3 linked regions of the Drosophila melanogaster genome follow. The protein of the gene in region 1 interacts with the protein of each later gene in a pairwise test. Each region holds a gene or a part of one and is shown on either strand. Other genes may lie near its edges. The genes, in order: Nca, Obp19d and CG14645.

Evidence for each region.
Region 2: the proteins of Nca (region 1) and Obp19d interact in binary tests that used the Drosophila melanogaster proteins (3 or more experiments, as listed by UniProt).
Region 3: the proteins of Nca (region 1) and CG14645 interact in a two-hybrid assay, tested with the Drosophila melanogaster proteins (2 studies listed by BioGRID).

Annotation. Positions count from the first base shown.
Region 1 is NT_037436.4:19,989,750-19,993,508, forward strand, and holds the start of Nca (neurocalcin), read left to right. Parts: upstream 1-2,137; 5' UTR 2,138-2,293; intron 2,294-3,515; 5' UTR 3,516-3,573; intron 3,574-3,759. Other genes in the region: fln (flightin), read right to left, coding at 205-337, 400-555, 622-881. UniProt on the Drosophila melanogaster protein: Calcium-binding protein that is essential for promoting night-time sleep and inhibiting nocturnal hyperactivity.
Region 2 is NC_004354.4:20,417,556-20,421,314, forward strand, and holds Obp19d (Odorant-binding protein 19d), read left to right. Parts: upstream 1-2,057; 5' UTR 2,058-2,582; coding exon 2,583-2,730; intron 2,731-2,860; coding exon 2,861-2,949; intron 2,950-3,021; coding exon 3,022-3,158; intron 3,159-3,222; coding exon 3,223-3,301; 3' UTR 3,302-3,424; downstream 3,425-3,759. Other genes in the region: Obp19b (Odorant-binding protein 19b), read left to right, coding at 32-116; Obp19c (Odorant-binding protein 19c), read right to left, coding at 617-829, 896-1,210.
Region 3 is NT_033777.3:4,333,053-4,336,120, reverse strand, and holds CG14645 (uncharacterized protein), read right to left. Parts: upstream 1,024-3,068; 5' UTR 1,005-1,023; coding exon 711-1,004; 3' UTR 615-710; downstream 1-614. Other genes in the region: Skp2 (S-phase kinase-associated protein 2), read left to right, coding at 1-112, 176-335, 392-578; CG9776 (uncharacterized protein), read left to right, coding at 2,209-2,899, 2,962-3,068.

The sequences.
Region 1 (3,759 bases):
ATATTCGTTTTCTTGAAAGGTCTCCACTCCATAAGGCAGATTCAGGATACAGAGTTTTGAGATGCGCAGATATGCAAACGCTTACTGACTGACTATACACATATGTACGTATGGATCTTTTGACAATGGGTGGTTACCCTTTATATAACTACGAGTGCTCATCCGTTCGTCCGACGGTTCTATTGGTACATTTAGGTGCGCTTACTAAAGGACACTGGCATACCTTTGGTTGATATATGCCTTGGTGTGGTAATTATAAGTTCTTATCGAGGCCGCCAGTGTTTGAATTAGTTGTTTGTCCCTCTTTGCCGGTGCATACGAATCAATGTCACTGCCACTGAGGTGGATAACAAATATTAACAACTACTATATTTACACAAACCGGATTAGCTACTCCACCTGATATTCCGTGTGCGCAGGACACGTTCCGCCCACGTCTGTGGTCTTGGTATTTCCCGGGCCACTCCAGTTTGTTTTTTGTCGATATAGTCAATTACATCATCGTAATAGTTGGTTCTGTAGTTGTACATGTATTTGTATTGCAGAAACTTCGGCCTGAAAAGTGCAGATTGCATAAGATACAGTACGGTACAGTGCTGTACAGTACAGTGGAGGACCAACCTGACCCAGTGGCGGTAGAGCTGCACCGGTTTCCTGTAACCATCGTCTTCTGGCGGAGGCGGCGGTGCTTTGATTTCTTCTACCTCTTCCGGAGCAGCCTCCTCGTTGGCCGGAGTGCCAGCCACGACGCTATCAGCCTTGTGATCGGATGCCACACTCGGTGCTTTTGAGGGTGGGGCCGGAGTGCCCGCCTGGGTGGATGCCGCCTTCTCCTCCTCGCCGCCGTCGTCGAAACCCCATGGATCTTCTTCGTCTGCCATATTACTGAAACGGAATCCTTTCAATATTATTATATATCTATCATAGACAGATTCACTTTCAATATTCGATCTCTAGGTAACGTAAGCCATCATCATATTATTATATCACAATAAGATACTTTAACAAATTCACTGTCTTCTTATTTTTTATAAACGTTGGCCTTTTAACGTTGCATAACATTGCAACACAACCTAAATTTCAATTTTGTTCTTAAAACAACCTTTTTCGCAGTTGATCGGAAATGTTTGGAATTCAGGACGCCCAAATAGCTGGCGTTCTTAGACCTTTCGAATTCAGGACGATTTAAATGGTTCAATGCATTATAATCTACATATAATGAGTTACATCATTCATCGATTGAATTGTATAGATTCATCTCTTAAACCACTCATATCACTGTTATCTTTCCAAAGGACTTTTTATCATAGACTTATTAATAGACGTTCAAGGGATTCACATTGATTTTCTAGCAGCTAAAACTAGGACATTGGGTCCACTGAAAAATTAGGGACCGTACCTTTACTATAGTGTTTATACTGATATAAAGGAAAAAAGACTAAATGATCGAACTGCTGCTCGAAACAAATGCACTTAGAAAACTTAATCTAAATATATCGAGAAGCAACATCTATATACAAAGGTTGGCATGCGTACTCACATACTAAATTTAATTGGCCGAAACGCTATTAACACCTATGTACTAAATAGTTTCACATTTCAGCATCAAAAGTTCCGGAACAATGAAAAAGTTAGTAAGCAGATTCAAATTTAAGTAGTCAAATAAATCTTTTAAGCTCAATTTGATCGATTTCAACAATTTGCTCATTTATACGGACTTAATTTTAAATAGTTACAACACTTGTTAACTTTTTCCAGAATAAGCCTAAAGATTATGAATCCTAGTTGATAAATGTTCACATAAGAAATCCGCACCGTAATTGTTAAATTTGTTATTTTAAAATTTTTTTGGTTTCATCATGAATCCAATAAGAATTTTAATTATTTAAAAAGGAACCGTTACTCTATCACGGGAACGACGAAAGTGGAACACTTCATAAATTTATTTATATAGGTTATATCTACGATCTAACTAATACTCTAACCGTATTGGTATTCTTGCTTAAATACATGCTTATAATTTTCTTAAAAGCCCCGAAATTAATTTAAAAACAATTTTGTTTAAACGGCGTGAAAACAATCGCCCTAACTTATCGATACATCAAAAGCGAAAACCAGCAGCACACATCGATAAGGCGCTCGTATATATATCGCCTCGATTTAAGCCACCCCTAAATTTGTTGTATTGATTGTGTTTTGGTCGAATAAGTTTATTGCATTTGCGAAAAGTGATTTTGTTTAGCCTAGCGGGTAGCAGAAATGTGCCTAAAATCAATGTGTCATTTTCGTTCAGGTAATAACCGCACCCACCTCCCGCCGAGGCGGCGAAAATCCCGTGTGAATCGAGCTACATACACACTTTAGCCCATTTTGCGTGCATATACACTGCATGTGCGTACATATGTACATACGCACCTGCGTACATATGTACATATGTAAATATCAAAAATAACAATTTAGGGCGAATTTGTGTGGAGAATAAAAATCAAGCAAGCAAATCGTTTTCCTAGGACATTGTACGTTGGGGCCAAGTGGACCATGTGACAAAGCCATGCCCACTCGCACACACGCAAGCACATATGGACACAAACAACAAACTACTTTATTTAAATCGAGCGGTTCGAGCAGTGCGAGCCGGTTATATTAATGCATTTTAATTCGCATTCGAATTCTCGCTCCAAAAAAAAAAAAAAAAACAGTGCCAATTTATGTAAGCGAGAACCCGAGGTCCACTGGGAGTTAAACGTGTGTAGCAAGTTGTGTAGCAAGCCATCGCCAAAGAAACCCCCGCTCGAAACGCATACACTTGGTTTGGTATACGATGTGGAATATTGGTGTCCAAGTGCCAGCCTTTCCCTGCTGACCACCCTCCCCCACCCCCTGCTGGAGCCCACTGGAGCCCCTTACCCGATTTGGTGTGAATATTATGTGCAAAATAAAAAGGCCGTAACACCGAACGAACGCTGGGGAGGAAGGGCAGGAAAAAAAACTGTAGGCGCGGGCCGTGCTTTCCCCACGTGACACGCAGGCGTATGCGTGTGCCAAAAATTCCATTTATTCGGCGTATATTCATCGCGAAAGGCGATTTCAAACTGCATTGACACTCGCACTCGCGTTTCTGGCCCAAAGTATACCAGCCATCTAGTGAAACAAGCGCTGATTGTGACCCACAATCCCAAAATAGCCTTGTTCCCAACATCTTACTCCAAAATACGTGTTCAAAATGGGGTTTTGGGTTTCTCCAGGAACCGAACTAATTGCCTCCAGATTGACCATGACCTTAGCCATTTTCAAAACTCAACTACCTTCCGTTTGGCACGAATTTGGCTCATGGCAGAGCTTTAATTTCAATTTTTTCGTTGCTGCTATTTTGAAATTTTAAATTGAGGGAGTTTCTTTATATTCTTTCGAAAAAAAAGATTCAGCAATATCGAAGAGAATCGCATATTCCATTATAATATTTTCTTACAATCCGATGGCGATTTTGTAGTAACAAGCTCTTTTTATATTTTCAGCATATTAGCCTCAGTAGGTAAATAATGCTTTGACTTGGTCGACGGAAATCAAACTGATGTAAGTAAAGGAATCACATAAAATGTACAATTAAATAAATACCAATAATATTTGTGCCTAGCTTAATTATAGCCTTAAATGCATGACTAACCCAATACTTAAGCAGCCAATTAAACAAATATGACTTGTAATAAATATCTTCCAAATGTGTGTGTAAACCTTTAAAGTAATCAATCATACTAATTG
Region 2 (3,759 bases), on another chromosome or scaffold:
AGGATCTTATTTGTTTTTGGTTTTTTTTCAGGTGCGAGGCAGCCCACGGGATCGCTATGTGCATGCTGCGCGAGATGCGCTCTTCGGGCTTCAAGATTCCCGAGATCAAGGAATGAGGCCATGGAGCTGCTCGCTGGCCCACCATTGCATGTTCTCCCTCCCTTTTTTTTTTGTTAGTGATTCAGTTCGATTTAATTACCAAAGCTAGAGAACTTGGAGTGGTTTCCCAAACTAATAAAGCGCCCAACCAACAAGTTACGAATTATGCATATTTATCGGGTGGGAATCACATATGTAGTACGTAATCCCGTAGTTGGAACTGCGAAAGATTGTGTTTTTTATTGTGCAAAAATGGGAAATAAATTACTGTATATATAGATTTATTCAAATCAATTGCGAGTGAGCAACTAAAACTTGATCTAGTACTAGAAAATCGTATAACTAGTATTTAATATATAATTATATTGCCTAATAGATTGTGCATTTTCGGTTAAAATTATCTGAGAAATCATTGTAGCTAAGATTATGGCCAAAATATGCGAGACACCTTCTTTCTACTCGTAGTTAAGATCTCAAGTGGTAGTTGGTGGTGGTGTCCATGGCGCGGAGATGTCCTCTACCAGACCAGCTTTACGTTGTTGCGCTCCAGCTGGCGACTGATGCACTGGTTGAAGAGGTGGGCCACCTCGCAGGGGTTCTTCGAGGAGATGCCGCGGCTGCAGGCCTGCGCCATGCTGGAGCTAACGGCGATGGCCATCTTGTTGTCCTGGGTCACCAGGCTGGTCAGCTTCTCCACCTGGCCAACGTTCAGCTTGTTGTCGGCGTCCATCTGGGTGCGAATGAGAAGTATTAGTGACCTTTTAGTTCTGGTTGTGACAAACGTCCGGCTACTCACCAACTTGATCTTCTTGAGCACGCACTCCACCAGGCACTTCTCCTTCTCACTTGGATTGGTCACCTTCCCCAGCGGTCGCTGGTCCCTGGGCAGCTGCAGCTTCTGGATGCACTCCATCCTGGCCGCGGTGACCAGCTCCTGCACCTGCGGCAAGTTGCGATCGATTACCGCCCAGATGGGCTCCGTTCCGGTCTTGGGCAGCAGCTTGGCGAGATCGAAAGCCTGGGTCTGGCCACGGACGCAGTGCGTCTGCAGCAGGACAGCGACCACTATCGTCATTAGCGGAATGGCTGCGACTGGAGTGGATGGCTTCATCTTGGCAGCTGCTTTCTCTTTGGCTCTGCTCTTGCTTGGCCCCTTGGCTTATAAGCTGACCCATGACCTCACACCATAGTCGTCTGCACATGGCATCGTCGCTTGATTTTGCTGATTGCAAGCATTTCTCCAGTGCCAAGTTCATCACCCAAGTTCGTCACCCGCACAAGTCACGCTCCAAAGACGATATTTGACATCGCCAACGCTATCCAGCGATGTGTCAGTTCACTCGAGACAATGACAATATCGGATTAATGTAGATCTTCAATCTGGAAACCTGATAGGTCTATCAAAGTACCAAGGTTTGTAAGGTATATTCATTTTTGGAATAATACATTTGAAAATATCAATGTTAATTAAAATGAAAGTAAGCCATTTGCTCGCAACCGAATTATTTAGATATATACATATATTATCAATCGGACTTATTTGTTGGATGATTTACCATGTACATATATGTATAATACTCGATCACACAGACTTCCGACCTGTTAAAGATCTTAATGGGGCTAGTAAGCCCCACTCAATCCAATTGGAATAAAAATTAGCATGCAACATGCTCACACGATGCAATCCGATTCCATCTATTGGATTCCACAATAATATAGATTGCGTGCTAAAATCTCCACTCGATGGATGGACAAACAGACTGACTGGATGGAACTCAGATAGCGATCGTTGGCACTCGGAATGATCAGAAAGTCGGCAGGCTGACGGGCAAACTGGGAAATAGGCGGACAGATGAAGGGTATATTATGGCCTAAACGGCCAATTTGGCAGGCGGCAACCGCAGTTCCCAGTTCGCCCAGTTCCATATAATTGTATAATCGCTCGATGGCCCCGCCAGTCACAATCACTCATCTCACCCAGAGCTGTTGATCGATTTAATTACAAGCGGGATTTCTCATCTCTCATTTTGCATTTAGCATTTTGCATTTTCATTTCCATTTCCACTAGCCATAGCCATTCCCAATTCTATATCCCCGGCATTTGCAGCGATTTCATGCCAGTCACCAATTAAGCAGGTAAGTGGAGATCGGTGGGCCATCTCATCTGGCAGCGGCAGTTCCAGCGGGGTGTCACTCGTTCACACGATGCCCAGTCGAGGGCATCTCCGCCGGATTCCGTCCCATCCCGTCCAGAGCGGCGGAGTGAAGTGGAGTGCCATGTGCCATGTGCTGCCCATGTAGTTCATAATTGCGCGTAATTGCCGGAGCTGCTTGAGACGCAGCTGGAGATCGGCGATGGATCCGATCTGCCAAATCAATCACGGGACTCGGCTTAGGCAATAGCTCCTATAAAACGCCGACGTTGCCGGCGATTCGCATCCAAGTCAGAGTTCGCACGTCGCGCAGTTCAATCGCAAATCGAAATGTCGCATCTGGTTCACCTGACCGTCCTGCTCCTAGTGGGCATCCTCTGCCTGGGCGCCACCAGCGCCAAGCCGCACGAGGAGATCAACAGGGACCACGCCGCCGAGCTGGCCAACGAGTGCAAGGCTGAGACGGGAGCCACCGATGGTGAGTCAGATGGTCATCAGTGCAGAAAATTCAGTAGGGAATACAGCTGTCAGCGTACCACTCCTACCTGTGGTGGATGTGTTAGGATAGTTATTGTGCAATTATCAATCATATGATATATCGCTTACAGAGGATGTGGAGCAGCTGATGAGCCACGACCTGCCCGAGAGACACGAGGCCAAGTGCCTGCGCGCCTGCGTGATGAAAAAGCTGCAGATAGTGAGTGCTGCTGCTCCGGCAGGAAGTGTGATCCACTCACCACCACCCATTCCATTCTCCCTCCCATTGCAGATGGATGAATCCGGTAAGCTGAACAAGGAACACGCCATCGAGTTGGTCAAGGTCATGAGCAAGCACGATGCAGAGAAGGAAGACGCTCCCGCCGAGGTGGTGGCCAAGTGCGAGGCCATCGAGACACCCGAGGATCAGTGAGTAGTGCTCGCCGGAAGCTGTTGGCTCAAATCCGGACTATAATCATGCTGCCATTTTCAGTTGCGACGCTGCCTTCGCCTACGAGGAATGCATTTACGAGCAAATGAAGGAGCATGGACTCGAGCTGGAGGAGCACTGAGAACAGATTTGAGACCCATGACGACCCCCCGTTACTGTATCACAAGCGCCCTTCTGGAATATAACCATCTTTTTTTTTTATGTGTATACTATGAATTAAGTACTTGATAAACTGAGAAACTGCAGGCTTGATTGTTTGTTGGATTGTGAAGGGGGATTCGTATGGGTGTGGTTATCCTCCAAGACTCCTCGGGACCCATAATTTACTAATAAAAAATTCTTGCTCAATTTCGACGATTATATTACAATCTTTATTATTATAAATACAAGTACATTTTTTTGTATATCATCTCCCAATCTGGGGCATATTTAAAAGATTCTTACTCACTATTTATTAATGCACGATGTTCTTCGTACCTGGGTTTCTCCAGGTGATATCCTGCGGAGAAGGGACCCAGCCAGGGATGCGCGTTCGCTCTCGGCTCCCCTAAATATGTCCTAGCTTAGCCGACTTAACGC
Region 3 (3,068 bases), on another chromosome or scaffold:
ATATCGTGGACTGACCTAAGTGCGGATGCTGTTACGGCGTTGGTTACCCACATTTCCCCCAACTTAATTCGGCTCAATATCGCTGGCTGCCGCCGCGTTTTGTTTGACTCGCGTAAGTAGTTCCCACCGTCTTCAATGATATATTTCCTTTTTGATTTGAATTTAATTTGTTTAGATGTTGCAACCCTGCAAAAACGGTGTCCTCAGTTGTTGGAGCTTGATCTATCTGATTGCAATAGTCTAACACCAACAGTCATTACTGCAATTATGAAGTTCAAGATGCTGGAATATTTGTCCGTCTCCCGATGCTATCTTATTCCAGCAACCAAATTTATGTAAGATTTTTCCAGCAAGCGTCTGATTAATCCCTACCCAGTCATTTTCCTTGCAGTGAACTTAAGAGTATGCCCTCGCTAACCTATTTAGACATATTTGGGATGCTGTCGGACACTGCAATGGAAGTCCTTGAGAAACAACTGCCAAAAATGGGTATAAACAAATTCATTCACAGTTCGGTATCCCGCCCGACTGTTGGCACGCGACGCACCTCCATTTGGGGTCTGCGCACGCGCGACTAAGTCTCGACTCTGCTGCTTCCGTTACCATTTGAATTTGTTTTGCTGCGTAAGCCACCCGTAACGCAGTTATTTTATTCTCAATTCAACAACATAAATAATCACATTTAGCTGTTCTTATTTTTGTGCGTTTGGTCACTGATCCGCTTCGCTAAGGGGCTCCACTGGTTTCTCCCATTCCCATTCCTCCCAGTTGACGCAGTTCTTGAGACTATCCATGAATCCTGTTTCGCTGGGGCACTTGATTTCAATGGCTGGTTTGTTAAGTGTCTCACACTTCCAATACGATGTGGCATCCCAATTGTTGCGGAAAACTACAATGTCTAGCTCGGCTTGGGTCTTGCAACCCGGCTGTCCGTCACCATCATAGGCGAGGGCAATGCCAAAAGAAATCACTAGTAGGGAGGTTAGAGCGAGCTGAACCTTCATCTTTCAAAAAATGTTCTATGGTCTACTGGAAGTACTCGAAGCCTTTTATAGTTACATAGTTGCAGCGGTATAGTATCCAAGTGCAGCTACTACCAGAAAATGCTTTTATAAATTGGCATTAATGTAAACACTCGAGAGAGGAAGGAAAAGATAACAGTACTTGCCCTTGACTCCAATCTGTTCAAACTAAAAAAGGTACAATGAGTCACCCAATTTTCCATTTAAAAATTCATTGTTTTTATACTATATTAAATATTTAAGAAAATAAACAAAAAATATGTCTTTTATCAAGGAAAGCATAATCAAGCCAATTCAAAACAAAATCATATAGGGAAACGACAAATATAAATATTTTCGATCTAGTTCGTAATCATAGGTTCAAGAACAAAGTTCGTATTGGACAGCCTGCCAAATTTAAAGATTCAGCAATATAAAAGTAACTAAAGCAAGAGAGAAGGCTATGGTCGAGTTCCTCGACTATCAGATACCCGTCACCCGTGGCAACATGGGTCAACTAACTTGCGCTGGGTATTTGTCTCTAGAATCTGTATGCTTAATCTCAACCTTCTAGCTTTTATAGTTCCTGAGATCTCGACTTTCATACGGACAGACGTACATGGCCAGATCGGCTATTGATCCTGGTCAAGAATATATGTACTTCATATGGTCGGGAACGCTTCCTTCTGCCTGTTTCAACGAATCTAGTATACTCTATTACTCTACGAGTAACGGGTAGAAATATAAAATTGAAACTATTTTGAGTCATCCCTCCAATTGGTAATTTTTTTATATATTAACGGAAATTTAAAGTGCGTTACAAAAGTAAAAATTCTTTTGGTGCTAGTATGCTTAACGGGGTGGACATTTCGGCGTTTTCCACACTTCTTGGGAAATCACTTTAGACAAATTTGTACCAATGTCGGTACTTAATAGTATTTAACTATAACTTACCTTTTGCCTTTGGTGTGAATAGGCTATTAAGCCAAAGAGTAAACATTCGTCGATTGTAACTCCCTTGTCATCGATGTTGGCCAATACGTGACAACATCGATAGTATCGATAACTATCAGGTTCAGGTTCGCCTGTATTGCACTATTTTGCTTCACACACGTAATTTCGGAATTTGCCAGAAAAACACCGATCTGCTATTGATCTTAGTCCAAAATTGCGTTTTTAAGTCGAAAAGACACTTTTCGGCTTTTAGATGGATGAAGACTCGGCTACGATACAGCTGGGGGATAGGCGTCTCGGTAACGCGGTCGATCATGATCTGCTTCCAGGGCCACCCGGCGTCGATGAGAAAAGCGGAAACGAGAACTGCGAGCCCAGGAGCAGTGGGTCGGGAAAGCGCGGCAAGTCGAATTCCAGGCGCCGTTCCACATCCCGTGGTCGGTCGGATTCCCGCAACACATCGCCGTCGAACACCCGGCGAAGGCATTCCCTGTCCCGCTCGCTGACTCCACCGCGTCGTCGTTACGATTCGCCCGATTATGGGCGGTACTCCCGACGGCGCTTTGATCGTGATCGGCGACGCTCCCCCGAACGCCGGCGCTCTCCGCCACGTCGCGGACGACGGTACGGACGATCCCGGTCCCGCAGCATGTCGCCCCGACGGGGAGGTCGATGGTCACCAAAAAAAAAACCGTCGTCGCCGCCAGTGCCCCCTCCGCATGGAGGACCACATCCTCAAATGACCCCTGGCTATGGAGCTATGGCCGCACATATCTACGGATCATACGTCGCTCCACCAGATGTTTACGGTCACCAATATGGAATTCCGCCTAACTCGTTTCCACCTCAGGGACCGGGGTACGGTATTCCAGGTGCCCCGCCGGACCAAAGCTCTTTTGGCTCTGGCTACGGTCCGCCTCCCACAAGCGCGTGGGACGTAAATGGTACGTTTCTAGACATTTAACGCCAAAAGCCCTTCATTTATTAAGCATATTATTTCCTGCAGTGTACGGTCAGCAGGTGTGGATTAACCAGCCTATTTCTGGGGTCCAGCCATCCGCTTCAGACTCCCTGATCCAGCCACAGAAGGCCCGCGAAACTCTCTCTGGCAAG